Linked DNA regions of Alligator mississippiensis. The protein of the gene in region 2 interacts with the protein of the main gene of each other region in a pairwise test. Links are inferred from orthologs where the notes say so. Each region holds a gene or a part of one and is shown on either strand. Other genes may lie near its edges.

Region 1 (7,685 bases), on a different chromosome or scaffold from region 2:
ATCACTCAGGCAATTTCACATAGTCAAACATGAGATATCCAAAAGCACACTAATGTTTTCCAGGCTGTGAATATTTTGCAAATTCATCACCCAACTAGGTAACTCACTGATCCCTTCGAAGTGCCTTTACGTCTCATGAGCATATAAGGTTGTGATCTCAAATATTTTGGGAAGGAAATTTATTTTCAAAGTGAAGTTGGTCCTCAAAATGACTCTCCCCCTCCCTCCTCCACCTGCCCAAATATGCAAGCTTCTCAAATGGTAGAAACTACTACCGGCTTACCAATAAACGACACAGTTTCAACAGTTTAATATATTTCACTGTTTTGGATATACCAGTCCTTATGACTGTTGGAACATATTCCCAAGTATCAAATTTTATACAAGTTTCCCCATAATTTTACACTGTAAACTTATTAGTCAGTCAACATGAAGACACACACTCCAGGCAGCAGTCTTGATACATATTTTGAATCCTTCCTTTTTCATGTCCTTATGACAAGATATTTAGCAGAATTCACAGATTTGTTGGAATCTGACATAGCCGTGCCATGAGCACTTCTGTTATGGCCCTGAACTTGTGACCTCTGGACTGTCAATCCTGCACCTTAGCTCCTGTATCACCCCAGCCCCCCTAAATTTTGAATGATCTATGATTTATTAAAAACGGGTATAAAGCACTTGAGCAACAGATAAATGTTTAAATTTCTAAAGGTGCCATAGTAAGTGAAGACTTGACAAATCATTTTTTGTCACAGGTTATTATTACAAAGAGCAGAGCTTACAACTGGAGTTTTAAAAAAGTTAAACTATCTTAGATGGCAAAGCCCCAATGTAAAAGTGAACTCTCAAAAACCGGGTCTTTGTTTGTTTTAAATCTAGTGCAATCCTCCCTCCACCAAAGATCGTTCTGTATTCAATATTCAGTCACTAAAACTGAAGCCTGAAGAAACTGGGACCAACTTGCAGCACTGTGTGTACAAGGCAATAAAGTCAACATTGCAGATAAAGGACCAATTAAGAAATTCCAACTTTATTTACAACAAACACTTGATCCTCAAGGAGGTCTCTTGAAGCAAAATGAATATTTGTTTTTATCTAAAGAAGAGTCTGATCTAAAAAAAACCTCCTACAAACTGTTTCAGGATTTTTAAGGAAACTCACCAATAGCTTGTCTTTAGTCATTTATATCCTGCTCACTCCTCTACCCTGCAGCTGCAGCAAAAAGGCAAATGTTTTCCCTCCTACAAGTTTGCTCTCAAACACCTGCATAGACACCTGTTATGCCTCTACAGGCAGATGTCTGTGAGAACTTCTCAAACAGCCTTTCGGGAAAGACAGATTTAAAATGCCACGCAGGGGCAGGAAGATGAGATGGAAGAAAACTGACAACTTGCTATTACCAGTAAGTTATTTTCTTTTGTCTCTCTCTTCCCCTGGATTCTCTATCAAGTACCAGCATGGTAATAAATAAGGTAGATGTTACTAAAAAGAGTCTCTCGGATATGTACCTGCCAAATGCAGCATCAGTGGAGAACGCTAGCTTAAAACTACAAATCAAGGTGGAAGGAGCCCTATAGGGAGCCCACAGTCTTCAACCACACAATGTTTCCCACCTCAGACTGTATAAATGACTGTTCAGATTACATTAGGGGTGTTGGTTATAGCTGTGCTGGTCTACAGACACACGCAGACAAGCTTCTTTGGGTAGATGTGATATCTTTCATTAGACCAACTGAGTAGTTGGAAAATTATTCTTTGCAAGCCCTTGGGCACAAACATCCTTCTTCAGGCATAGGGGGAATCTGCTGCTGTTCTGCAGTACAATATGGAAGTCCCTACGAAGCACACACCATTAGTTACATGACATACCATCCCTCCCTGGAACCGATACAGGAAATCCTCAGACAACTGCAACCCACACTCCCTCTGCCTGAAGAAGGGTGTCTGTACCCAAAAGCTTGCAAAGAACAGTTTCCAACTATTTAGTTGGTTTAATAATAATAATAAAAAGGTCACATCTACCCAAAGATCCTTGTCTACCAGTTAAGATTACATGCTACTTCCAAACTATCTTCTTTTAAGACTCTTGGGAGATCAGTACAGGACACAAGGATTTTGGGATCCAATTCTTTTTCCAACAGATCTCTAGTTTAGGGATCAGTCTTGTCCATAGATCCATATTCACAAACAAGATTTTAAGATTGCTGAAACCCAAATATTAAAGTTACCTACAAGTCAGTTTCTTCAATTTTTGAAGCACAAGGAGAAACATGGCAGCTTCCTCCCTCCCCCCTCGCATTTTAAAACTCATTAACTTCAGAGATGAGACCCCAAGTTTGCCAGATGAGACACCTTTCTTAACAAAGCACCAAGCACTTTTGTAACGCAGCTCCCATTCATACACCATTACACCTGAAGCATCCACAAGAATGGCTGTCACCAGCCTCCATCAAAACCATCCTCGGGGTGGAGTCACCTAACCGTCTTACATCACCAAACTCCTGCCGCCGCCGCCGTTAACAAGACTCGACTCAGTGCTGCCTTCAGAAAAAAGTTAGCTCCAAACAAAAGAAACAAAAGAGCACAGAAGATGAGGCCGGGAGGGGGGCGAAGAGGTCATGGGGGCCACCCCCCTGCTCGGAGCAGCACCAGCCCCAGCCCGAGCACCCCCAAGTCGGCCCGCGCTTCTTCGCGAGGGGCGCACGTGTGCACGCGCACAAGCGACTGACCCGGGTCCTGCCGCCGCACTGCAGCGCTCCCGCTCCGGCCGCTTCACGCCGCTGCGCCCGCAACACGGCGGGCCCGGGCGGGGCAGCCGGAGCCCGCACCCCGCGCACCGCCGGGCCTTAGGCAACTTTCGCGGCCGCGCCGCCCCGCACTCACCGAGCCCCTCAAAGGCCCGCGGGCCCGCCCCGGTGGAGATGGGGGCGGGGGCGACGGCGGCTGCTGATGCGGCTGTCCCGGGAGCGCGGCCGCCCGCCCCCGCGCGCCTCCATCGTCCGCCTCCGCCTCCTCAGCAGGCCCGGCCCCGGGCAGGCGGGGAGGGCACGGCGCGCATGCGCAGTGGGGGCGCCGGCTTCTACCCGGACAGTAGCGTCGTGACGCAAGCGCGATTGCGTTCCGCAGTCCCGGCAGTTGGGAGGGGAGAACACACATCGCGCCTGCGCGAGTCGGGCCAATGGTGGGATCATTACTACGCATGCGCGGGCGTGCTGAGCGCTTCTTCCCACGCGTTTGGGGTGCGTGTGCGCGATACTATCCCGTGCGCGCCGTTTCAGCCCTTTACAAGAATAAAAGTGTTCAAAACGTACGAGGAGTTTTGAGTTTAGTAGCCGTGTTGGTGTGAGACAAAAGAAATGCACAGATCTAGAAGTTTTGGTTCAGACAGGATACCTTTTATTAGACCAACTACGAAATCACAACAAACCTGTCGCTTTCTGCAAGCTTTCGGGCTCGCGGCCTTTACGGGGCGCAGGGAAAATGAAAGATTACCCCGCCTGATCTGCACAACAGAGAGACTCTCATGGACCCAGAGGGACAGGCCTCCGTCTTAAGTGCCCTTTGTGCAAAAATGGAGTTTATTTCCTACCAATGGGGACTTGTTACCATCTTTAATTTTCCCTGAGCCTGACGAAGGGCGTGTGCGCCCCAAAGCTTGCAGAACAAGACCACTTGTTTGCAGTCTCTTAGTTGGTCTAATAAAAGGCATCATCTCTGAACCAAGACTTCTGAATTGTTGCAGTTGATAATTTTTGAAGCATCTAATTGACAGGACATGCAAAACCCACGTCTCTCAGGAAGTCTTAACCAACTTTTGGGTTTGCGGTCAGCGCTTTCTCATGCCTGACTGCTTGCCTCCAAATAAAAAAATGCCTCATGTTTGATGTCCCAGTTGTCCTCACTCACTGTCAACTTGCAGTGAGCAACATAAACTACAGGTGACTTATTTGCATATTTTTTACTGTACAAGTTTGCCAGCAAATATGATGATTTTGAGCTTCCAATATGATCATTTCATATTTAAGACCTGGCAGTGCTGCGCAGGTGGCCAGTACATGTGAGCTCTTGAACAACTGAGTGCCCCCCAAGGCAGGCACACACAGGGAGTGCCCCGCAACCCACGTCTCAGCCCAGTTTGACTAAGATGATGCGAGGCTAGGAAATGCCAAGGCCTCTGGGCCTGGTGCTAGCGCATTGATGCCTGCCAGGATTTGTGGGTATCAGCAGCCCCAGACTGATGGGCCTGGGAGGGAAGGTACTTGCCTGGTGGTAGCAGGTTCACCAGCAAATGCAGATGCACTTGTAGAAGCTGTGATGTAGATTTCTTTGGAGTAGGTGAGGTGCTGACACCAGTGTCATGTAGACATGCTTGGAGCAGGGATATGACAGAACATCAGCATAACAAACTCCCTCCTCCGGCCACAGCATGCTACAGGTGGAGCTGCTATAGTTGGAAATGTTTAGATGCGTCTTATAATAAGTGTATCATCATAAGACTGACTCACTCACCGGCTTCATCTAGACACCAGGCAAAATTAGCACCAGGCAGCCTCCTACACAGGATTGCAAACAGGAGCACAGACAGAACTCCGATAAATGGGTGTGATGCTTCAGCGTCAGGTGCAGGATCTTTCATTAGATAGTTGGTGAAATAATGGCCCTGTTCATCAGGAGTCATGATGTCTTCAGGTGAACTGCAATATCCTCAGGCAAGGATTAGGTATTTCTGCTAGTTGTGTAGGATGCTTCACACACACCTAGACACTGTAAAACATGGACTGTTTTGCATTCATCCCTAAAACATGGAGAGGAGCTATGTACCTCCTCTCTGAGTGCTGATAGATCACAGGTGCAGGGCTATTATTGGGAGTGCTGCTGTTATGGAATGACATGTAAGAAACTGTAGGAATTACAATGTTTTCACATCCCATTCAAGATCTCTAGCTCATGTAATTATGGGTACACTAAATGTGTGTCAGGTGCAGCTTCAGGACTTGCTAAGCATGTGTGGCAAGGAGTTCTGATTAGGATTAATTAAAAATCCTGTTCAATTACTTATTTTAAGCATCCAACAAGCATCCAAGTATAACCTGTTATGAATACACACGGCATCAACCCCTTGTTGTTAGCATGTTTCATTATTGTGCAGCAAGCTATCAAGCTCAAAGGTAAGCCTTTTGTATCTGTACATGGTTTCCAGCTATGCTGTAACTTTATCTGTTGTGCCTTTGACTTACTGTTTATTTTTCAGCTGAAGCAGGATAAAGGTAAATCCAGAATCTAATCAACTTTCACTGAAGTGCAACATAATGTGGGTTGTGTGTGCCGTATAGTCAACCAGTGGCAATGAGTAGGGGGTGCACGGGGTGCATGTGCACCCCCTGAGAGGCCATGCTCCCCATTTTAGGCAATGGGCAGGGTGCTCCCCCTGCAAACGCTGGCTGGGGAGCGGGAGCACCCAGATGACCACTTCCCGGTTAGTGTAATTGGCCACGTCAGTGAGATAGGCCGTGGGGGGACCCCCCCCCCCCAGTTCCTGACTGGTTGCCGACTAAAATGGCACCAGTCACCCATACAGTCAACAAAAAGAACTTGAATCAGTATCCTAACATGCTATCTGCTGCAGTTTCAAGTTATACTACCAGATCACCGCCCCTGAGGTAACACAGATGTGTTAGGTAGACCGCACAGCAAATTCCTGGAATGATTCAGCCAAGATGTAGTCCAGGTGCTTATGTAAGATGATGACACAGGAGAAGGATGAGCATTTAATGATTCAAAGTCACACGAGCATGGCACAGTGATATAATGGCAGCACACCGAGAATCAGTTAATTTTTTGTTGTTGCATGGAGGGATGGGGCAGCAGGAAGGCACTTCTGTCTTAAATTCTTTTCTCATGGTTATTTCTGAAAGTATAAAACTTTAGTTCACCTTGTTGCAAATAGTTGTCAAAATGCATCACCAACTGAGTAGGCGAAAACCAACCTGAGATTGACACTCTAATCCACTATCTCATTCCCATAACTTCCAAGGTCCACTTCTGCATTTTTCACATGAGGAATTCTTCTTCATTACAGTGGTAGGGCTGCTTGAAAGGATTAGTTCTTCAGGACCCTTAAAAAGAAGAGATCAGGGGATGGAGTTTGGGCAAGACTAACTTCCACTCCGACTGATAACGAGTGTCCCAGGGGATATCTTTATCACAGAAACACTGTCTCTAACTGGCCCTTGCCCTGATCATCACAAGCAGACAGGTCAAGGATTGGATTAACTATGGAAATTTAAGGTCCCCAACATGTCAAGTATAAAGCATGTTGGCAGGGAAAGGCTTGCTGTACTGTTGCTCAGGACTTTGCCTTAACACAGAGAATGTAATGACAGCCACAAACCTGCATTTTGACCTTGAAATGATCACATGGACCCAACTTCTGAGCAAGGCTGAGAAAATGCAACTCACTTCATTGGGAGTAGGATTTGGCCACCGACTCTGTAAAACAAAATATTCCAACAGGAAATTGCAGGAGGGCTCCAGCATCTTAGGATTTGGCCTTTTGACATTAACGTGATGGGTTACATTACTTCTCCTGCTTCCCTGGAAATCTGGAGGAAGTTTGTCATAGATGTGAAAAGGAGTAGGATGGGGCCCTGGTACAGCTGCATAGTAAATACAATGCTGCCCCTGTCTACACAATTGTCTGAGAGGAAGTCTTGTCCACTGACTGAATATTACTTAAGTTGCATTCAATAACATTTGCTAACCCAGGCTTAAATGCGGGGCTTATCCAAGGCAGCTCTGACCAAAGAATACCAAGCCAGAGCCAGGATAGTTTTCTCCATCTGACAATATGATCCATTATTGGCTTACTAAGGCTTTTTTCCCTCCTAGCAAATGTACCAGTCCCCTGCAAAAGACACATAAAACGGGGAGCTCCAACGGAAACTGGGGAGGGGTTGGGAAGGGTTGTTTTGAGAAGTCACATTTCCTCAGAAGAAGAGTATTTTCAAAGAATTGGGAAGTTTCAGTGGGGAAGTTCATGGGAGGAAATGGTATGGTAATACATACTGAAAAAAAGAAAGCACCCAGCTTGGGTGGAGAAATGCCCAAGCGGTTTCTCCCCTTCCTGCCACCCCATTAGAGAACAAACAGTATTTGCAGAGACCTACCAAATGCACAGTTTCACAGAAATTGTGTAATTGGCAGTCTCCTGTGAAATAGCCGGTTCCCCTGTGAAAGAGTGCAGGAAACCGGCTATGCTCAAAAAGCCGTCTCCTAGAAGGACAGGAGGAGGGAGAAGGGAGCAGAGAGGAAAAAAAAAAAAAGGCAGCATAACGGGGCGAGGGGGAAAAGAGGCAGGAAAAGTTCCCATCTCTTTGTCTCCAGAAGGGGCGGGGGGAGCAGGGAAGCCCCCCCAAGAGTTCATTGTTTGCTTACTCAGTAATTATCGCTCTCTGACCCTTGAAGAGGGTAATAATTACTGAATAACAAACCAGGCAGCTCCAGCTAGGACTTTCAATAAATGCCTAGTGGGGGTGGGACTTGCAGCACCCCTCAGCCAATCAGAAGTGTGGGGGCTTTGCTCCACCTTCAAATGGCAGCCCCGGCCTCGATACGGCTGTGAAATCGGGGGTCCTGGCTATGTTACAGCTGTGTAATTGGCTGCTGGGGCCTGTGAATTTGAT
Region 2 (6,852 bases):
CCCAGTGGGTGGCTCTCCTCCAGCTTGCATTTCTCTGAGCCTCCAGATGTGCTGCAGATGCTGGAGACACAGGCTTTTCCCTGCATTAAGGGGAACCTACTGTGGCTTAAGGTGGCACCAGCTGGAGCCTAAGGAGCTAGCCCTCTCTCATGCCTCCTTACACATGGGGGAAAAGCTTCAGCACTGGAGTCCAGAGACACTGTTAGACCCTAAGGGACATGGAGCTGCTCAGGAGAGGCTCTGAGCTGTTTGGCTCTGTGTTCTTGAGTCCTCTGAAGTCTCTTACAAGGTGTCCCTGCTTCTCATTCATCTCACAGGGCCTATCAAAGATAACAGACAGCCCAGCTTTTAGCCCAGTAGAGCTGTATCTAGGTGACATGATACAGATCTCAGCTGGCACCTTGCCCGCTGTGCAGCTGGGCAAGGTGAGCGGCCAAGTGGGGATGCTGGCTACGTCCCCAGAGGTCTAAAGGATGGGGGAGGTTCCTAGTACTTCCCCCAAGCACGCTGCCTGTGTTCAGTTGCTCTTGTGAGCCTGCGTTCTGGGGCTCAAAAGTGAGCAGAGGCTCTGCTTGGAGTAGATGCATTCATTTCTTTGGAGGAATCCAGCTCACGTCCCAGTGACACTCACTTTCCACCTTCTCCAGTTGCAAACTCAAGCCCTGGGAATCCGGTGATCTAACCCAGTTAACATGACAGCAGCCGCAGCTTCACAGCTTGAGCACGGGGCAGGCAAATGGGGACATGAAAGCTTTCAGTGCCGCCTCAAGGGAGTGACCCCCCTTCTCTGGGCCTCAAGCGCTTTCCTTGTGCTCCGGGCATTGACCTGCAAAAATCAGCTTGACAGGCGGGTTTGAACTGAATGCTCTCCCAGGCTTCAGCTCTCAGGTGCTGGGTGAATCACCAAGGGTTTCAGTGCCAGGTCTTAGCTCCTAGTCAGGAACTCAGGGTTTGCCTTCCCTTGCACTATTGAGCTTAGCAGGACTGTGTCAGCATTTGAACCTGGGATCCTTCAAAGCCTGGGCCTTTGCACCCTGTGTGCCGGGCTCCATAGCTGGGGTTGTAACAGGCCTGCAGGGAGGGAGACCTGGGTACAGAGTGAGAGCTGTGCTGTCCACCTGGGCCAAGCCAGTCATTGCAAGATCAGGATGTAAGCACCTGGCGGTCTCCAGGAGTGAAATCAATTCCACCAGCTCCTTGTGCGGTGCACTTCAGCCACCATGGGGGGAACGGGTGCTTGTTTCGAAGCACTGCTCCCGCTGGGTTGGTGTTTGAATGGGAGAAATGTGTTTTCCCATGAATGTAAAAAAACTTGCTTCTGCCTAGTTGCAGTTGGAGACAAAGGTGTCAGTGTCCCCAAGAAGGTCCTTTCTGTAACTTGTCACCCAGAGCAATTCAGGGGGGCAATGGGGGCGTGTTTATGTGTGTGTGTGTGTTTTTCAATTTCTACCAATTATGCTGTCAAATAAACATATTTTTGCTTTTTTTTTAACCCTGTCAATCTTGTGATGTGGAAGGGGAGGTTTCTAAGTCTCCTTCCTGCCTCCCCTGGGTAGGGGTACAGGAAGCCATGTGTGGGGGTGCCTGGGATGGGGGTGGTGCTGGTGCCACCAAGAATAGGAGTGTGGGTTGAGCCCCCACGTTCTCCCTGGAGCAGCATGACTGCTGTACATGGGGATGGCTGCAATGCCAGCTGTGTAGCTGAACCCCCCCCCCGATCAATAATGTGTTTGGTGGGGTAGGAGTGAAACTGTAACAGCAGGTAAGTTTTTAAAAATGCTCATGCTCCCTAGGCTGAGACCTTGGCTTAACTATAGGGGAATGCTAGATCTACGTCACCCAGAAATACCACTGCGTGCACTTCAGCCTTAAACACGTAAAGCCATCTGAAAGACGCAGGGGTGCCATCTCTACCACATCTCAGCTTCCAGTCTGCTGTAGGATTTCCAGGTACGCTGTGAAGAAGCATCCAAAATGCTTGGTGTGCTCTGCTGAGCCCAATAAGGGAAACCCTTGTAAGGAAGCCCTGGACTAACCATTAGCTAGCGACAGGAGGCAGCATCATGATAGTAGAACAACGCTGGCCTAGTCAAAGAGCAAAAAAATCAATGTTTCTCCCACTGGAGCCTAAAGTTCAGCTCAAATATCTGTGTTTAGGCATTTCAATAAAGTAGATAGGATTGAAGGATTGACAGAGGTGCTTCTAACACTAATTGGCACAGCGTGCTCCCCTTACACCCACACCGGATAACAGGGCAAAACGAACTCCAGACCCGATAGTGGCCTGTTGGTTCCCTTGTTATGAGCACGGTGAGGTGCATAAGCCCCATCAGTTCCTGGCACCTTTCAGCCCTGCCACCTCCCTGGTCACTCAGTTATGCTCCGTTTAGCTGCCGCGTGGCATTGCGTGGAGGCCCTGTACTCCGTGGCTGAGTGGGTGCAGGGGTCAGGGGTGCATTTCGTTCAGGCTTTCTACAGTCAGTGCAATCAAGCTACAGGAGAGGGCAGACCCTGCAGGGCAGGATGGCAAGGAGGTACGTGAAGGAAAGGCCAGTGTGGGCACCCTCCAGCTGCTGTCCGGTGCTGCGTGGATGCCAGCTTCCCATGGGGAAAAGCAATCAGGCTGATGAGGGCCCTGCAGAGGCTGGCACCAGGAGCCTCCATGCAGGCTGCTGTGAGCAGAGGGGTGGTGGGTCCCACTCACACCATGCTCCGGCTGCAGCGATGCCAGGACAGGCACCGGATGCCCCCACGAGAGAAGGAGACAGGCCGTGGGGGTTGCAGCTCCTGACCCCAAAGGGAGGAGCTATGAGTGTCCTGATAGGAGCCCTCAAGCCTTGCCTACACCTAGCACTGCCCCTGTACCCCTTCAGATGCACCTGGGCACCTGGCACTGCTCCTATTAACCCCTGGGATGCCCCCGAGCCACTGACACTGCCTCTATTAACCCTTAAGATGCTGCAGGACCGCTAGCATTGCTCCTATGACCCCTTGAAATGTCCCCAGTGCCCTATTAACCCTTGAGATGCCCCAGGGCTACTCTCACTGCCTCTATAAACCATTAAGATGCCCCAGGGACACTTGCACTGCCTCTATTAACCCTTAAGATGCCATAGGGCCACTGGTGCTGCCCCATAACCCCTTGACATATCCCCGGGATCCCTTGCACTGCCCCTATGACCCCTTGAGATGCCCCTAGGGTCCCTGGCATCTTAGAGACCCCAAATAGGGGCTATTCCACAGCCCCTATTAGCTCCTGAGGTGCCCCTGGGCCACTGGAATTGCCCCCATTAACCCTCAAGATGCTGCAGGACCACTGGCACTACCCCTATGACCTCTTGAGATGCCCCCGGGGCCCCTGGCACTGCCCCTATTAACCCCTGAGATGCCCCAGGACTACTGTCACTGACTCCATTAACCCTTAAGATGCCCCAGGGCCACTTGCTCTGCCCCTAGGACCCCCCACCCCGAGTGCTGCCAAGGGCACTGGGGGCATCTCAAGGGGTCATAAGGGCAGTGCTAGTGGTCCTGCAGCATCTTAAGGGTTAATAGAGGCAGTGCCAGTGGCTCTGGGGCATCCCAGGGGTTAAGTGCCTCTTAACCACTAGCACTGTCCCACGTTTCCTCCTCCTGCCCCCCCGCAGCAGATGCCTCAGGATCTGCCCCTATGAACCCCTGAGATGCCTCAGGACCACTGCCACCACTAGCCCCTGTTGAGAGGATCCCCACGCTCAGGTGCGGGGTCGCGGCCCCTTTAAGAAACATCTGCAGTCGCTGAGGGCTGAATGAAAATGGGGATGGCCAATGGGAGGCGAGCGTGGCATCCCAGCCAGCCAATGGGAGTAGGGCGCGGAGGTCTCTTCCGTGAGTCTGCTCCAGCTGGGGTGAGTGTGCGTGGGGGGCAGGACAGGGATCAGGACCAAGGGCAGGGGCTCCCCAAGCTCCCCCTTCCCCAGCCCTGCTGCACCTGCCCAGCTCCAGCCCCTGCCTGCCTGGCTTGCTGTGACCCAGGTCCCTGTCCAGCTGCCGTGCCCCCCCTTGACCCCCCAGACCGAGGCTGTCATGGAGGAGCTGGACGCGGTGCTGGCAGGGAGAGGATGGGCCGTGCAGGAGAGGTACGACTCTGCGCCAGAGCCCGCTCAGCCCGTGCGGCTGCGGAGGAACGCCTGCTACATCGTGCTGGCGCTCCTGTTCAATGACCAGGTGAGGCGGGCTCTGCGTTTGGGAAGGGGCAGAGGGTGCGTGTGCTGTGGGTGCCCCGCGTCCTGGCAGGGGGAGCCTGTGCAGAACAGAAAGCACGCAGCTCCCTCCTGCCCTCCGAGCATGGGCTGCTGCAAATCCACCCCCCGGACCTGCTGTGCCGCCTTTTTGTTGACGTCTGAAAAAAAGCGAGACTGAAGATGAGAGACTTTGCAGTCTGGGGAGCGGCCTCAGGCTGCGCGGCCCGCTGCAGATGCCTCCAGAAGAGCAGGGGGGGTCGGCTTACTCAAGGAAACCTCTCATAGCTCCCCATTCAGCAAGCTGATCCCTCGAATCTGGGCTAGAGATGGAGACAGTGAGGGGAAGGGCCTGACTTGGCCCCTTTCCAAATTTGTACTGGTCCCAGAATGCCAGTGACTCCTTGACCATGACTTGTGATTCTTCCTCCCTCCCAGAACGAGGTGCTGATGATGCAGGAAGCCAAGGCCGAGTGCCATGGGATGTGGTACCTGCCTGCTGGGAGGATGGAGCCCAACGAGACCATTGTGGAGGCCATGAGGAGGGAGGTGAAAGAGGAGACGGGGCTGGAGTGCGATCCCCTCACCCTTCTGGCAGTGGAGGAGAGGGGCCCTGCCTGGATCCGCTTTGTCTTCCTTGCTGAGCCGACAGGTGAGTCCCCTTGCCCTGCAGCCAGCGGGACGGGAGGGTTACAGTACTGTGCCAGCTGGAGGTGGTCAAGAAGCTGAGAGCAGCCTTGTGGGCAGCTGGCATAGCAGTGCCCACAAGGCTGGAAGAGCCAGGGGAAGCATGGAAGAAGGAGCAATATTGGTTTCAGAGCTGAACCAGACCTGAGGGCTTCTGGGCAAGGGAGGGCTCCGTCTTGGCTTTGGCCTTGGCCCTGGCATACGTAGCAGGGAGGATAGGGCAAGCCTTCAGCTATGCTAAAAATACAGGGCCCCGAGCGCAGCACCGTCAGAGCCTGTTCTTATCCCTTCATCCAGGTGGGAGCCTGAAGACGCTGCAGGAAGCTGACGCTGAGTCTCTACAAGCCCGGTGGTGGGATCGCGAGTCTCCCACCCTGCCCTTGCGTGCGCCGGACATCCTACCCCTTCTGGACCTGGCTGCACGGTACCGAACCCGCCCATCCCATCCACCCACCTTGCCAGCAGAAATGCCCTGCACCCAGATCTGCCAGCGGCTCCTGGCAGCCTTCACCAACAGCACCGGGGACTTGTGGGTGCTGATGAGCACAGCAGGGGCCCTGCACCTGCCGGTGATGGCCTGCAGCACAACCCCAACAGAAATGCGCCGGGGCCTGCGGGCGTCAGCAGCCCGGCTGCTCTGCGAGTGCGTATTGCTGGGCCCAGTGACTGTGACAGCCCAGGGGGTCCTGGGCCTGCAGCACCTGGGCAAGGAGGCAGGGAAGGCTGATGGCGTCTGCTTCAACGTGCTGCTGACGGTGGGGCACAGTGACCAGAGCACCCAGGATACTCCACCGGAGCTGCGTGACCAGAGCTTCCAGTGGTGGCGGGTGAAGGAGGGACCTCTCAGGAGCAAGATTTTGCAGCGCCTCAGCTCTGTGGCTGTTGTTGCTCTCTGCAGCTGATGACAAGGGTGAGCTGTGCTTGGGAAAGCCTCCCAGCATGAACCTCCGATCCTCCGGTTGTTGCTGCTGGGGAGCCTGGGATCCAGGCCCATGCATCAAATTGGGGGCAGAGCTGGGATAGAGCGCAGGGGCTCCTGCTGCTCTGGCAGGAGGGTGAACCCTGTTGGGAGGCCAGGGGTGACTGGTGCCAGTAGAAAGCCCAGCAGGAGCCTGGACTAAGGGCCGTGTGATGGCCCCATCCATGAGGTGGGGGCTGACCCTACCCCGCTGGGCTGAGCTGGTGTTTGAACGCTGCCTTTCCTTTCTCCCCCAGGTTTGGCTGAAGCTCAGAGCCCGCAGCATGCAGTGAGCCCCGCACGGCTCACCTGGAAAGAAAGACATCTGGGCCACCGCAGCAGGGAGGACCCGTGGCTTTCCCGTGGGGCACGTCCTCACCAGTCACAGCCCGCAAAACCTTCCCTGCCCCGTGCCAGAAGGAGTGGGTGCTTCTCGTGTCTGGCCTAGAGGGAGCAGGGGCTGCCATCTGCCTGTGCCACCCTCGAGGGGCTGAACCTGAAGCGATCATGCCGGAGGACTGTGTGCTTCTCTAGACCTGGCTCTGGGGTTTCAAGAGCTGCCCCAAGCATCTGTGTCTTGGCTAGAGTGTGGGAATAAAAAGGAGCACTTGGGAAAGTTTAGAGGTTAGTCTTACTGCTGGCTGGCTTGGGGAAACCCTCCCCCAGCAAATGGTTTCCAGCTGGCTGGTTTCAGGGAGACCACACTCTTCCCCACCCCAAGGCTTGGGGCTGGCTGGCATGGGAGCCCAACACCCCTGCAAGCTTGTGGCCAGCTGTCTTGGACAGATTATGGTCCAGGTGCTGGTATTGGAGGGGCTTTCTGGCACAAAATTGCATTGTGCAGGGCCCGTACTTGCCATCAGCTCTAGCAGGCTTCACCAACAGAGCTGGGGACTTTTAGGAGCTCGTGAGCACTGGTGGGGAATTCACCAGGAGGGTTTCAGCCCATCCCAATCCCAAGGTTTGTGGCTAGCTGGCTGGCTGGGGGAG
Region 3 (7,638 bases), on a different chromosome or scaffold from region 2:
TTCAGGCGCGGGGAGACTGTTTTTGCTGTTTTCTCCACCTTTTTGGCAGTGAAGAAAAACCTTAAGACTGGGGAATGAGTTGCATGTGAAACTTTGCACCCAAACCTAGACTGCAAGAACTAATTTCCTTCCTACGAGGCCAAACATCTACCAAAGGGCAATGTTAGTTTGGGTCGGAACAGAATGGATTTTAAATGGCCAAGTCCATGTAGGTGCCATGCTATCAAATTAGCCAGGTCCTGCCATGCTCCCCAACTCCCAGGCTGCAGAACCAGCGGGTAATTTAGCTCCTTGTGCAGGTCATCTATTTGATTCTACCTTTGTCTCTAGCACCTGTCTTCAGGGAGGAGCTGCCAGCAGGCAACCTTTCTCCCCTGCACCTCTTCCTGTGCAGGGCCGTGTCACTCTTGTTGAACTCAAAGGTTGCAGATTCCAACTCAGTTCACTCCAGAGCACAGCAAGCCTGATTTATAACCAATCCTTTGAATCTTTCCTTGCCCAGATTTACAACTAGATAACCTGCATGTTCCCTTCTTGAGATGAGGCAAGTGAACTGTTGCTGGACTGCAAGTGAAGAGTATGAAAGGAACAAAAGTTATTTGCTTCTTTAAGAGGCTTGGAGTCAAGCTAAATGTCCTATTTGAATCAGTTTTTATTTCCTTCTCCATGAATGAATACCGATCCAGATGGAGATGCAGAAAAAACCCTCTCATCTTGGGCAAAGAAAATTAACTGGTTGTATATATTTTCTAAGAAGTTTGCTGTCATTGCTTTCAGATAACGATGTGGTGCTCAAGTTGCAAACACAAGGGGCTGGTTTCTTTAAAAAAAAAATAAAAAATTGAGGGCTTTTTGTTTGTCATTAAAAAGTCTAATGGTTATTTCTAGGGGTTTTAGGTTATCAAACACTTATTTCTGCAAAACTTAAGTTTGAGTTGAACCTAAATTTGGAGCTACAACTGACAAAACACTGATCCTTTAAGCATTTTTTAAAATGTTTTTAAAGGCTGCTTAAAAGCTGAAAATCTGTCTGACAAATTCCTGCTCAAATTGAGTCTTTGCACATCCACACCCCAGGAAGCGTTTAGAATAGTAACGCGACAGAAGCAAATATATGGGTACACTTGCTACTTTCAAACTTCAGAAGACAATGCATATCTTGATCTCATAACATCTGTCTTTTATCTGTCTCAGAAATTGTATTTTATTCCACCAAGCTTTTGGCAATACCATTAGCCTGTAAGGAACTGGACAGAATAAAAGCTGCAGTGTGTCACGACACCACATTTATGCTGGAATAAATTCCAACGGTTGCAATGAAACTGGCAAACTTCTGACAGCTCTTTTGACCTAAGGACCAGTTACAACAGAGTGTTTTAAAGTGTAATTCTACTCCAAAATATGACTGTTAAATTGATACAGGCTCCACTTGGATGGTATTGTATCTCGGATTTCCAGAGCGAAACTGCTCAAGCAGAAGATGAGGACAGTTTTCCTGACAGTTGCCAGTGCAGATGTAATATGGCATTGAAAAAATTTGGCTGTCAGTGACATTATACAAACCAGGGAGGGAAGGGGGAGAGAAGAGAGAACAGATGACGTGAAAATCAAAACATAGAGTCTGAACTGTGCAAACCCGCCGTCACGGAAATGACTCGTAGGCATAACCATCCGATGGATCGGGCCTCTGTCACGGCGACACCACGCTCCTTCTCCCTGGGCTAACAGGTGCGCAGGGCAATAAAGTGTATTTTAATCAGCGACCGGATCTAATTCGCAGTTCACGCAGGGCGCAGTTGTGTTGGGCAAGAAGGGGCTGTTATTACGCAGCCGCTCGGAGCCCGTCGCGTTCAAGCAAGCTTCCCAGAGCGCGTGTTATATACGTTTATTATATATCATATACGTCTAGCCTTCCAAAAAAAATACAATCCCATCCCACAAGTAAAATCCCTGAACGGACCGAGGACGATGCCAGAGCAGCCACCCCTCGAGCACCTTGCTGGAATCCTGAGGAGACATGTGGCACCCCTCGGGAAGCGCCCGCGCTGCTGAGGAGACACGTGGCACCCCTCAGGAAGTGCCCGTGCCGCTGAGGAGACGCGTGGCACCCCTCAGGAAGCGCCCGTGCCGCCGAGGAGACGCGTGGCACCCCTCAGGACGCGCCCGTGCCGCTGAGGAGACGCGTGGCACCCCTCGGGAAGTGCCTGCGCCGCTGAGGAGACGCGTGGCACCCCTCGGGAAGTGCCCGTGCCGCCGAGGAGACGTGTGGCACGCCTCGGGAAGGGTCCGTGCCGCTGAGGAGACGTGTAGCACCCCTCGGGAAGCACCCGCGTCACCAAGGAGACGTGTAGCACCCCTCGGGAAGTGCCCGCGCCACTGAGAAGACGCACGGCACCCCTCGGGAAGCGCCCGCGCCGCGTTCGGCGGGCGCCCCCACGATGTGGAAGATCTCCGGTTTTGCCGTCCGAAACGGAGACTGCACAACGCGGGAAAGACAGATGCCGGACTCGACGGGGGCGCATCGCCGGAGCGCGTCGGACCCGCCTTCCCGTGTGGGGGGCTGCGAAGCACCGCCGATTCCCGTCTGGGTCGATGCGGCGAAGCCTGAGGGCGCTCGCGGCACCCCGGGGTGACCACCGCCGCCGAGGTGCTCGAAGCTGGGACGTTTTGCCAGCCGGGGGCGACCGTTAGGAACGCGAGGGGTCACGGCGAGGGGCATCGCGAGCCCCCTCAGCGCGTGGCGACATGTGGAGCCAGGGGGTGCGAGGGGCTGGGGGGCCACGTCACTGCCCCTCAGGGGCGCGCGCAGCGCCCCCAGCCCCCGCCGGCGGGAGGGGGGCAACTCCCTAACCGCCCCACCCCTCCGGGCCGGCCAATGGGAGCGTCCCCCGAGGCTGGCGCGTCCCCCCGGCAACGGCCCCTCCGCGCGCCGCACTCACCTCCCGCCGCGCGCCCAGGAAACGGCCCCGCACCAACTGCCGCAGCGCCCCGCCGCCGCACTGCGCATGCGCGGGCACGCCCCGCCCCGCCCCGCCCCAGGGAGCGGGGGGAAAGTGCCGGCCCCGCGCTGCGCCGCACGCAGGGAGGGGAGGGGGCGGGGCCTCCGCCTCGCAGCGAGCGGGGAATTGCGCGCGGTGCCTAAGCGCGGGGGGGGGGGTTGGGATTCTGAGGGACTGGTACACGTTACATACATCGCTCACTCCGTCACACGGTACATTTAGGCCACACGTGCCAAGTCATTGCCACACAATGAACCAGCGCCGCGAGGATTTTGAAGGCCCCTGGTAGACATTACATACATCGCATAATTCATTGGTCAGTCGTGCAATACATTTAGAGCAGCTGCGCGTGTCAAGTCATCGAACCGGACAGGTGAGGATTTCTGAGGGCCCTGCGCCACGTCACATACATCGCGCTGTTCGCTGGTCCGTCACACGGCTCGTTTAGGGGGCCACATCGTCGCCACGCGATAAGCCGGCCAGGCGAGGATTTCTGAGGGCCGGTCGCTGGTCCGAGACAGGCCGCACGTGAGGCGCTCGGTAAGGTCGCATGCTCGCCTGCCGCGGCGGGTTCGGGTGTGAGGCGTGTGTCGTGTCGGGGGTGACCCCCGTTCTGCGCACAGTTGAGATGACGCATTACACGGGACGGTTTGCACGGGGTGTGGACGAGATGCGACCTCCGCGGGGATTCTAGCACGAGCCCGAAGAAACCGTCACGCGGTGAACCGGTCAGTCATGCAATCAGTTTAGACCGGCCACACGGGCAAAGTACTTCTCGCTGGATAAAAATGATTCTCCGACTATTAAAAGAGCCAACCAGCTATAAAATGAGCGCTTGAAAATGTGTCACAACTCTATAGCTGGTATCCAGCCAGCATTAATTTGAATGTGTAGCAGGGCCCTTAGGGTGGTATTTTGTAGGGACCAATTACATAGCTGGGATAAAGTTAGATGCTTTCAAATGCAAGACATTCATATGTGTGTGGGTGTGGGTGTGGGTGGGTGTGTGTGTATGTGAATGTCTTGCATTTGAAAGCATGTCTAATTTTATCTCGGCTACATAGTCCCTACAAAATATTTCCCTAAGGGTCCTGCTATATATATATAGAGAGATATATATCTATATATATCTATATATATATATATCATGAATATATAGATATATCTATCTTTTGTCTATAGACAGATAGATAAATATATGTGTGTGTGTATATATATATATATATATATATATATATATATATATAGATGTGTATATGTGTGTGTCTGTGTGTGTATATATATATATATATTTTGGTCCCTGCAAGATATCACCCTAAGGTCCCTGCTATATATATATATATATATATATATATATTAATAAGATCTATCTATCTATCTGTCTGTATGTATGTATGTACATATGTACGTATATATATATCTATAGATATCTATATCTATAGAAAGATAGATATAGATATCTATAGATAGGTCCCTACAAAATATATATTTTGGTCCCTACTAGATAGAGAGAGAGAGAGAGAGAGAGATAGGTCCCTACAAAATATCACCCTAAGGGCCCTGTTATATATACATCTCATGAATATGAATAATTTCTATATTATGATGTTATTCATCTCCTAAATATGAATAACATCCATATAAGATTTGAGTTGACATCAGCCCAAATCTTTAGTGCTTCAGTGATAGTGAAGACAGAGACATCATAACACAAATGAAGATGTGCCCAGAGTGATGCATACATGCATGTAATAACTCGTGTTGACACACACATGCCAACACTCAGCCTCATGTGCACAGAGATGGCTACACACACAGCTGCACGTAGACATATATAGCACAAGCTGTCGTGAGCAGATGCTCACTTTCAGATGCTGAGGAGGACAGGGCAGCCCCTTTCTAGAGGAAAGCCTGTGTCTCTCTCTAGTCATGAATTGGCAGCAAGGGCCACACTAGCAACACTGAAAAGTGTTGTCACTGCATTGTACTTATTAGCTTATAGGGGCAATTGTTACAGAAGGTTGTGCAAAGGTAATTGCTGCCTATTGTGACACATCTGATATTTGTAGCATTTCTCTTAGCCGCATAAATGATGGTACATGTTATGCATATTGTAATATATGTATATGAACTCCACTTAACAACCTACTATAATAACACTGAAATAATGTAACCAAGTACTGATCATTTCCACAGTCTGCACCCAGTAACAGCACAGACAAGTGCTGCCATATTATACAGGCTGTTCCATCTTCTTAAAGAAGTGGGATTGGAAAGGAAGACAAAAGGTTACGGAGGCAGGCGGATACATCAATGCAATTCCCGATTTCTGTTGTGACATTTATGTGAAAGGGTAATTAGAGCAAGGGGAAGCACTCCTGAGTGTAATGCTCATGAGGGGATTCCCACTCTCCTTTCTGAGAAAAGATCAGAGCCATCACAGAGATCAGTCCTCATGCATTATGTACGGGCAGCCATTACTCATAGTATCCTAGAGAATCGGGCCTCGAAGGGGCCTGCTAAGTCCACCCCCTGCACGGAGCAGGATCGATAAACATGCATGTCTACATGCGCATAAAACCTGCTCCTTCCAGGTTGTTCGGCTATGGTCTCCAGTGGGAGCAGAACTGGGCCTCTGTTGTCACCCCATGACAGCAGCCTCCCCCCACAGAGGAGGGAGTGGGGGCTTTCAGCCATTAGTCACAAAACAGAGCATCTGGAAAGGCACGTTCTGATCCCAGCTCCGCCACACAGGCCTGGGGCAGCCCAGGAGGTGCCGGGACGTCTCCAGAAGTGTGCAAGGCCCAGGCAGGGACACAAATGGTTTCTGTTAAGATGAGACCTATATGCCCAAAAGCGGCAGCATAACACTCTGCACCCTTGGCCTTCAGCAATAGCCAGGCATTTTATAGTCAACAAGGACAGTCACTGTGGAGCCTCATCCTGCTGCTGGAAGCATGGCCATGCAGCATTAGACAGGCTGATTAGGCAGGCAGACAATAGCAGTTCGACACAGAGATCCAAGCCTGATAAAAATTTTTGACCTGTAAACACTTAGAGGACATCTAACTTCACACACACAAGGAGCTCCGCTGAAGTCAGCAGGTTTTGCACCTGCCTCTGTTTGTGTTTGTGGATGCCCATGTCCTTCTGCATCTTTGTGCCTGCCTGTCTCTGTGCGTGTCACTATCTCTGTGCAGGTGACTCTGAGTGTGTCAACACGAGCTGTTACATACGTGGGTGTATCACTCTGGGCACATTTTCATTTGTGTCACGATGTCTCTCTCTGCCTTCAGTAGTGCTGGAGCACAAAAGATTTGCGCTGACGTCAACACAAATCTCATTCTTTCCTTTCCAAATGGGTTTGCTCCTTCTAGCTGTGCCCCTGAAAGCCAACCGGCAGCAGCTGGGCAGGAAACCACGTCAGATCTGCCTTCATCACGCACCAGCTCTGCAGCCTAGGGAGGCATCCCTCTCCCACGTGACTTCTGCAGCAAAGCCAGGTGGCGAAACGTACTCCCAGAGCATTTGCTTAATGGGGCGTGCTAAACATTATCTGAGATGTGTACATCCCATGTGCAGCGTGTCCAGCTAGGAGGCAGCTTTCCTTTGCGTGACAAAAGCCAGGCAGCGAGCAGAGACAGGGAGTGGCTAGGATTCATGCGGTTTAACAAGACCCATGTCCAGGTGGCCTTTGCATAGAGAAGCTAGCAAAGATGCAAGGCTCTTCCTGTTGTTTCTTGCTCAGGATTGCAGCTGCCTGGATTTTGGAAGCACTGGGAGGTTTGAAGGAGACGGGGCCAGTTTCACCCATGGGATGGGAGGGGTTCTTAGCAATGGGCTTGTGATGCCTGTGTCCTGCAGTCAAAGCCCTGGTGATGCCCCCCACACTGGACACTTGCCAGGCTGCTGTGCTTGGGCCTGCGTGCGTTCAAGTGTCCAGAGTCCCATCACTTTGCTTGGCTTTAGGTCACTACATGGGCTTTGGGAGGAGGCAGGTTCTCCCTCAAGCACCCCTGCTTGAGAGATGAGACCCTGGGGTCCAGCTGTGCTAGGCTTCTAGGGTCATGCTCACCCCTAGACACCACAGTAACTTCCCAGACCTCCAACCTTGTGGGCACTCTGCTTTACTGCTTACACCTCTCAGGGAATACTTGCTTCTTGAAGCACATTTACACACGGGTACTTTGCCAAAAGGATTCTAAAGTAAGCGCTTTCTGCTTTAAGTAGTACACATGACATGCACCTCCAGAGAAAAAGGCCTGCACACCTTTCCCTGCCTGTTTCCTCACTGAGCCAGTGTTTTGGGGGATTTGGGGCAGTGTCTTTTAAGGACTCCAAGGTCCTCTTCCTGTCCTCTTGCCCATGGATTCTCTTCTGAAACACAAGTCTCTTGACTATGTGCCTGCACTCCTTCCTTCCCAGTGCATGCACACATGCATGTGCAGGCATACACACCACGTGAGAGATCCTTTCCTTTATACTCTCCGGTCCTCTTTATCAGTGGCACTCTAATAGGTTATGTTGAGGTTGCAACAAATCACTGTTCCAGCAGGGTACAGATCATTATTCTGACTACTGGGCTGGTGGGGAGTGACCCTGCCCTAAACCCAGGCTTAAAATGAGAGAGATGGACAGA
Region 4 (7,401 bases), on a different chromosome or scaffold from region 2:
AACTGCAACCAGACTTAATCTGCACACCATAATGGGAATAAGCTACTGTATGTTATAGTATGACATTCAACAGTCTCAAAACAATTAATTTAACCAGGCTAGCTTTGTGTTAAAGTTAATACAATATCCAGAAATGGCTTGATAAATGTTTGAAAAAAGGTTACATTATGTGCAACCAATTAAGTAAATTGGCCCTACTTTCTGTGCATGATTCTGAAACAGCTAATCAGTCAATTTTCTAAGAGACATTTCTCTTTAATAAACTAGATTAGCAGGTAGAGTCTACAGATAAGAATCCCTTTTCTCCAGGTGAGTCTGGGATGTGCAACTGGTACTAGGTGTGCTACTGACATAATCAGGCTTAAAGTTTCAGCTGAATGTTAGTTATGAAACACAGTTAGGTCCCTAAATAGATTTGTCCAGAAATGACTTCTCTCCACAGAAGTGCAACTATGACTTCTCTGTAGTTGCATAATGTAGCATGTAGTTAAACTAGGTATTAACTCTTCAGATTTGTTTATGGACAGGTTGCACAAGAACTCCCTGGAATCCATAGTATTGTATTAATACCCAAGGTATAACAGTTTACAAGAAGTCAGGTAGGTATTTTGTAAGTGCTTATCCGCTGTTGAAATACATGTGATTCTACTACTTAAATCTACACTTAAATCAAAACAACTTCATATGCATGTTCTCCAACAGCTCAAATTAATTATCTGCTCTTATTGTCAAAATATTTTGTTTTGTCAAGTGGTATCAACCAAATCTTCAAGATTTTTCAACACGAGATACCACAGCTCGCAAGAAACCTGCTAATTCTTTTCCTGGGCTTACAGGGATGTAGTCTGAAGAGGAAAATTGCAGAAAGGGGTTTTTGGCATAGTAATTGCATCAAGTTGGTTAATTAAAGCTTTTCTGGAAACTAAGTAGCCATTCAAATAGATTTAAAAGTTGCATCTATTTAAAATTAATAAAGAAACAGACATTAAAATTAATGTAATTTCGTTGCATGGACTAGGTCCTGTGGCAAGCTACAGGAATAACCATTGCACGCTTTTCTTCAGTTTAACTTACCTACTCTGCCATAACATCCAGATGGGAGGGAAATTTGAATATCAGTTTTAACTACAGCCTTTTCCATAGAAGGAATCACATAGTCATAGGCACTAAATTAAAACAGACACATGTTAACAACCAAGAATGTTTTAAATATCATCTTTGTAAGTCAATGACCACCCCCACAGAAATCGATAATTAAAGCAGGTAAAGATGGGGAAAGAACAACTACTTCAGTATCAAGAAAGAGTGTTAATCATGTCAGTCTAAAGTTAGGCAGGAAACGATGCAGGTCACTCAGAAGCATAATTTTTTTGTAGGCTACAGACTGCTTCCTCAAATGCTGACTGGGCTTGGAGAAGAGGGGTACTAAATATAGAAAGAAATGAAGTCACTGAAACACAAAGGGGGAGAAAAGGAAGAGACTACTCAGACTACTATTAGTTATACTGGAATATCAAATTCATTTGGCCCTGTAGGCCAGATGAGTGATGTGGGGCTGGACTGGAGCAGCCCTGCATTCTGGATCTGGAGCGGGTATAGTGTGCAGCGCAGTTCTGCTCCGGCTGCTGGAGGGGCTGTGCTGTGTGGCACCCTGTCTAGCGTGGCCCCACAACGGCATGTGACTACTTCCAGGCTGTGCTGCACATGGTGGCTACTCTGGGATGGGAGCTGGAGCAGGTGCCATGGGTCACTCTGAGACCCTCCAGGGCCAACACCAGGCTCCAGATGATTTGGTTGCATCTCTGACACCCTTGAGTTATGTTAATACTATGATATTACTTTAAGGGCTGTCTACACTTCTGCAAAATTGAAAGTAGATACTAATAAAGGCCCTGCTACATGTTCAAATTGAAACTGCATAGAAACCAGCTCTGGTTTTGTTACACATTTTCTAGCACTAACTTTAGAGCTAGATGGCTCTTTTTATAGGTGCTTTGTCATTTTTGTCCTGTGATAATTACTCTGCACCTGTGGCTGGTCTACATTTATGGCCCAATTCACCAGTGAATTGAGAGATAACTACTTTGTACTTGCAACCGGTCTTACTTGGCACACGTGGCCTAATTTACTGCACGGTTCACCAGTGAATTGCGCCACTTAGGTAACATGTAGTAGGGACCTCACACATGGCAAATCCTGATGCTGGCACTGCCGATTTTGACGTCTCTCAGACTCCAACTATTATAAAACGAATGGGGGGGGGTGCATCACCCAGGGCGCCGTGACAGCTGCTCAGTTGTGGGGGAAACTGAGAGGCAAGCGCCACTGCGTGCCAACGCAGAGCCTCGAGCCCAGCTATTGTGTGTGCATGCATGCCAATGAAGTGAAAAACATGGTCACTTGTGCTGATTTATTCTTAATATCTGCTGTTGTGCTCCTTCCTGCACAAGAAACCCAATCCGGGCTGTAGGGAGACGGTGTGATAGAGCTCAGTTCCCTGTAGCTGCTCGCAGCCTCATCCTGCCAGCACAGGGGGAGGGGGAGGGGGATCCTTCACTGGAGGGGGGAGGTGATGAGACACCTCATTCACTTTCACTGGAGGGAAGAGGGCAGGGCAGGGCGTCTCACGAGAGGGGGGTTCACTGGGGGGCGGCCTGGGCCTGCGGGAGGACCCCCCCGCCCTTCCCTTACCTGTACAGGTCGTAGCCGGCGGCGCGGGCCGAGCCGCGGGACGGGGCGGACGCGTTCTCGGACAGCTTGGCGAAACGCAGGCGCATGGCGGCCTCCTCGGGGCCCGCGGCCCGGGGCCGCTTGCTGGGGGACGCGGCGGGCGCTGGTTGCGAGCACGGCATGGCGGGCAGTGAGCGCGGGACAGCAGCTTTTTCGCGCGCGAGCCGTTCGAGCCGCTCGCCCCGCCCCGCTGGCGCAGACCACGCGGCGCGGCCAGGGGAGCCGTTTGCTTTGCATGTTGCATGGAGGACAACGCCACTCGCCCTCGCCCCCCGCGCCGCAGAATGGGCTCTCCCGGCCCCTCCCCCTGGCCCTCTCCCGGGGCCGTGCGCAGAGGCCCTGAGCAGTTGCAGCCCCCCCCGCAAGGCCCATCCCCCACTCCCGCGCGCCCCCGGCTCTTACTGCTGCGCCGCAGGCCCGCGAGCCACCGCGACAGGCGGGCAGCCAGCATGGCGTCTCCCCTGGGCAGGGGGGAAGGGCTTTTCTGTTGCTAAGCGCAGCCCGGCCTCCCCCTCAGCCGCGAGTCAGCGCCGCGCCCTGCCCCGCCCCGCCCCGCCCGCCCGGTACCTTCCCGACCGGAGTGATGAAGCGCGGCGCTACCCGCCCTCAGCGGCCTCCTCTCGGGCTCCCGGGGACGAGCAATAGGGCCCGGCGACGCCTTCCTGGAGCGCGTCAATGGCGGGGCTCGGGCTGCGCGGGGGGAGCGGCCCGGCCCGGCCCGGCCCGCCGCGCTCCGGGGTCATAGCCGCCCGCGTCCGCAGGACGATGCGTCTCAGTCGTGATCCGGCTCCTGCCGCCAGGCTGGGCCCTCGCGGGGCGCTCCGGGAAACTGCAGCACTGAGCTCTCACCCCCTAGCGCCAGGCCCACGCCGACATAACGTGCCTCTGCCCGCTTTCACCGGGAGCGTTTTGGGGGGACGTGCGAAACGGTCACAGGAAGCGAGAGGACGCAGCTACAAATCGAGTCCTCTTAAGTTTGGTCACCCGGGCCTCTTTTGAGGCAGTAGATGGAAAGGTCTTTTGGGAAAAATCCCCAGCAGTGTGCTTTGGTGGTTCAGGGAGGTATTCAGCAGCCGCGTTGGTCTGAGACAAAAATGCAAAACTAGAACTCGTGGTTCGGATTTGATACCTTTGAGTACACCAGCTAAGACATCGCAAAAAGTATATATATATTTCTGCAAGCTTTCGGGTGCGCACACCCTTCCTCGGGCTCGGGAAATTAAAGACCATTCCATCTTCAGCTTCCTCTGTGCAAAAAATGAAGTTTATTTCCTACCTGTGAGGACTTCTTACCATCTTTAATTTTCCCTGAGCCCAAGGGAGGATGTGTGAGCCCGAAAGCTTGCAGAAAAAGATTTTTATTTTATCTTATTTTTTTTTGCAATGTCTTAGTTGGTCAAATAAAAGGTCTTGTCTCTGAACCAAGAGTTATAGAGTTTTGCATTTCTTTGTTGGTCCTGTCACCTTTTAAATTAAAGCAGGATGGACCCCATTGCAATCGAGTAGAATCGATGGAATCGTAGAATCCATGAACATGAGGGTCGGGAGGTCACATTGAGTCAAACCACCTGCTCAAAGCAGGGCCAGCCCCAACTAGATCATCCTAGCCAAAGCTTTATCTAGCCAGATCTTAAAAACCTCTGGAGAGAGAGATTCCACCACCTCTTTACTACCCTCCTAGTCTGAAAGTTTTTCCTAATATCTAACCTAAATTTCCCTTGCTATTTGCTGTTACCAATTGTGGAAAATAAATGTGAAGATATGTCTAGATTTTTGTGGATATTTTTACTGCTATTCAATACTTAATAGTTTGATGTGTTGTGTTTGTCAAGAGGAGTCAATATTATTGACCTAAGTGAAGGTAATGCTTAAATATTTAATATTTATACAAAGCATTACAAAAGGCATCTACAGATGGGAGTTGATTACAACAACCAAAAAAACAAGCGATGGTACATTTACAGAAGATTAACAGTTTGGGATGCTCCATAGATAAACAAAAGCAACTGGTTTTACAGACTGGATTGTATGTTCAGGGTCTAACTGCAATTACTGTGTGACAGGCTCATGACTACTACACCAGCCAATGTGCGTGCCCCGTCTCCTGGGCTATGTCACACCTGGGTCTGTTCTCCTGCCACAACTCATTATGCTGGGTTTTACCTCCAGAGGTGGTGTTCAGTGGTTTCTGTAGGACCCAGGGCAACTCTGCTGGCACATCTGTGGGGCTCCTCCCCTACACCCACTCCCTTTCTGCTTGCGTGTTTAGGATCATACTGGATGACACTCAGATCTGGTGACGGGGCTTTCTCTTCCTCCGCTGAGGCCTGGTGATGATGACCGCTGCAGGGGGTCTGGCTGTGGCCCTGTAAGGTTGCAAAAATCACAATTTAACAATAATTCAACGAAAATAGCGCTCAGATGGTGTGGTGGACAGGGCACTGATGCCCCCCCCTGCAGAGCACTTTTCTTTGGTGTGTGGGTGTCTCGGTGCCCAGCACACCCTTTTCCCACACATTCTTAAGTCAGTGATGCCCCTTTCTGGGCATGCTTTCTGGTCCGAGTTCTACCTGACCAGGTACTGTAATACCGCAAGGCACGTCCCTCCACACCTGCACGCCACTCATGGTTCTGCCGCTCCCCTGCTGGGGCCCTCTGATTCCGCAAATGCTCCACCAGGATTTGTGGTGCCGGGGGTGGGGGTGTCTTATGCCAGGTTTTATCCCAGCCTCAGCTGACCTGCATATTCCTGTGGGGGTTGTCACGGGTGCCAGAAAACTCTATCAGGTCTGGGCTGCTTCGCCCACCAGCTGCAGCAATCAAACTGGCACCTGTTTGAATCCCTGGTGCTGCCTGAGCAGTCTGGGCTTCCAGACTTATTCTGGGGACTTTAGCCCCAGGGAGAGTTACCGGCTCCCTGCTGGCTATGTGGCATGCATCCTGGTCCTTTCGGCCATGGGGAGAGGGACATGCTGAGTCCCTTCTGGCCTTGAGGAGAGTGTCCAGCTCCATTGTCAGTGCTCCCACCTTTCTCTCCCCCTGGCTTCGCTTCTGGGCTTTTTGCCAGACCAACCAGTGAAGCTCCTTCCAGTTGTGTGGTGCTGACTGGTTTGTCTGCAGGCTGGCCATGTAGATGCTGGCATTGCAGTGAGTAGGGCTGGAGCCTGTCAAACTATGACTAACAGCATAGGAAGGAGCTCGTTAAGTGCAGCTATCCCTCCATGTTAAAGTTCTTGTTATCACCAGTAACTAGAATAAAAAAGATATAAAGAGAGGTTTTAAAACTGATAGATGAGCACAAGAAAACTCAAATAGAACATGAAAATGTATGAAGGTTTTTATAAATGCTTGTGTTTTCTCAACTTCTAAAACGTAGATTATAAAATAAAAGGAATTAAAGAAAAACAATCCTTGTTTAATTAGGAATCTGATAGGTCAAAGTGCATTTCAATTTGTTCTTGTACCATGTAGGAGGAGAGCAAATAATTTTCATAAGTTTTCTCGGAATGGGCATGTGTTGCATAGGAATGTAGTAGCCACCCTAAATATCGTTATAAGTTGTCTGTAAATAGCTAATGTTACTTTGGCATATTAGCTGCAGTAAGTTTAAGGTTAATGAGGCACAATTCAAACTTAGATATTTAAATGGCTACTATTGTAACTAGAATTTTATGTTTAAGAAAACGGACACAAAGTTTGTTGTTTTAAAGACTGGAAGATGTCCCCTCAAGTTTTTGCTTTGGAGAAAAACTTAGTTAATTTTCTGATACATCTGCCTGACCTAAGTATTTTGAATATTGCTGAGTTATGTATTGTGATGAATATTCTTTTTTTTTTTAATTGTAAAAGGAGGGAGAAAATTTATTGGAGAATGGATGGGGGGAATAATTGGCTAGATCAAGTCTTTAGCAGTGTGACTCAATGTGACATTTCTGGTCACTGATTCAAGTCTATCTTGAGGGTAATTTGGAGGTCTGTGTACATAGTGGTGGTGGTCTCATACCACTTTCTAGAAACATGTCATTGAGGAAGGAAGGTAATCATTATTAAATGTCATCTTTTTCACAGACTTTTAAAGGGATCATACTCTAGATCAGAGTGAAGGCATGTCGCTGGGGAAAGTTTTCACTGCTGCCTGTATGTGCTGTAAGGCAGGTATCCAGGTTGTAGCTGTATTGGTCTAGAGGCAAATGGAATTCCTTTTTATTCTAGACCATTATGACTACAACCTGGATACCTGACACATGGAAGATACCAAATTTTAGCTGCTTTTTTAAAATGAACATTTCATCATTTTTCAATAAGGAAGCAAAATTTACCATCTGAAACCTGAGACCCTGCTCCTGCCCTTGTTCAAGCTAATTTGCACTCTAACAGAGCGCAGAGGTAGGTCTCCACAAAAGACATGCCTGCCCAGAAGAGCATTCCATCGTTCCAGTCTTCTGTGAAATATGAAACATCATAACCAGAAGGAAATATGATTCTACATCCTGCTTGCTACCAGACAACTTTGAGGTAAAAAGATTTTTCCAACTTTTCTCTGAGCCTAATCTACACAAAATGAACTGTTCCAAACAGGAGACTTTACCACACCTGCAGCTCTCCTGTGAAATATTTATTTTCATTTCTACATAGGAGAACTTTTACAATCTTTGCAATCTCCTATGCCTG

Evidence for each region.
Region 1: the proteins of NUDT18 (region 2) and NADK interact in a two-hybrid assay, tested with the Homo sapiens proteins (2 studies listed by BioGRID and IntAct). The two-hybrid records come from large-scale screens. The link is inferred for Alligator mississippiensis from reciprocal best matches to the Homo sapiens genes NUDT18 and NADK.
Region 3: the proteins of NUDT18 (region 2) and NT5C2 interact in binary tests that used the Homo sapiens proteins (3 or more experiments, as listed by UniProt). The two-hybrid records come from large-scale screens. The link is inferred for Alligator mississippiensis from reciprocal best matches to the Homo sapiens genes NUDT18 and NT5C2.
Region 4: the proteins of NUDT18 (region 2) and DUT interact in binary tests that used the Homo sapiens proteins (3 or more experiments, as listed by UniProt). The two-hybrid records come from large-scale screens. The link is inferred for Alligator mississippiensis from reciprocal best matches to the Homo sapiens genes NUDT18 and DUT.

The regions. Positions count from the first base shown.
Region 1 is NC_081836.1:12,892,350-12,900,034, forward strand, and holds the start of NADK (NAD kinase), read right to left. Parts: upstream 3,015-7,685; 5' UTR 2,887-3,014; intron 2,854-2,886; exon of another isoform or gene 2,733-2,853; intron 1-2,732.
Region 2 is NC_081830.1:18,805,508-18,812,359, reverse strand, and holds NUDT18 (8-oxo-dGDP phosphatase NUDT18), read left to right. Parts: upstream 1-3,844; 5' UTR 3,845-4,062; coding exon 4,063-4,203; intron 4,204-4,655; coding exon 4,656-4,869; intron 4,870-5,201; coding exon 5,202-5,806; 3' UTR 5,807-5,814; intron 5,815-6,119; 3' UTR 6,120-6,483; downstream 6,484-6,852. UniProt on the Homo sapiens protein: Mediates the hydrolysis of oxidized nucleoside diphosphate derivatives. Hydrolyzes 8-oxo-7,8-dihydroguanine (8-oxo-Gua)-containing deoxyribo- and ribonucleoside diphosphates to the monophosphates. Hydrolyzes 8-oxo-dGDP and 8-oxo-GDP with the same efficiencies.
Region 3 is NC_081829.1:98,822,402-98,830,039, reverse strand, and holds the start of NT5C2 (cytosolic purine 5'-nucleotidase), read right to left. Parts: upstream 3,016-7,638; 5' UTR 3,008-3,015; coding exon 2,940-3,007; intron 1-2,939. UniProt on the Homo sapiens protein: Broad specificity cytosolic 5'-nucleotidase that catalyzes the dephosphorylation of 6-hydroxypurine nucleoside 5'-monophosphates.
Region 4 is NC_081834.1:20,411,604-20,419,004, forward strand, and holds the start of DUT (deoxyuridine 5'-triphosphate nucleotidohydrolase, mitochondrial), read right to left. Parts: upstream 3,013-7,401; 5' UTR 2,853-3,012; coding exon 2,692-2,852; intron 1,167-2,691; coding exon 1,075-1,166; intron 1-1,074. UniProt on the Homo sapiens protein: Catalyzes the cleavage of 2'-deoxyuridine 5'-triphosphate (dUTP) into 2'-deoxyuridine 5'-monophosphate (dUMP) and inorganic pyrophosphate and through its action efficiently prevents uracil misincorporation into DNA and at the same time provides dUMP, the substrate for de novo thymidylate biosynthesis.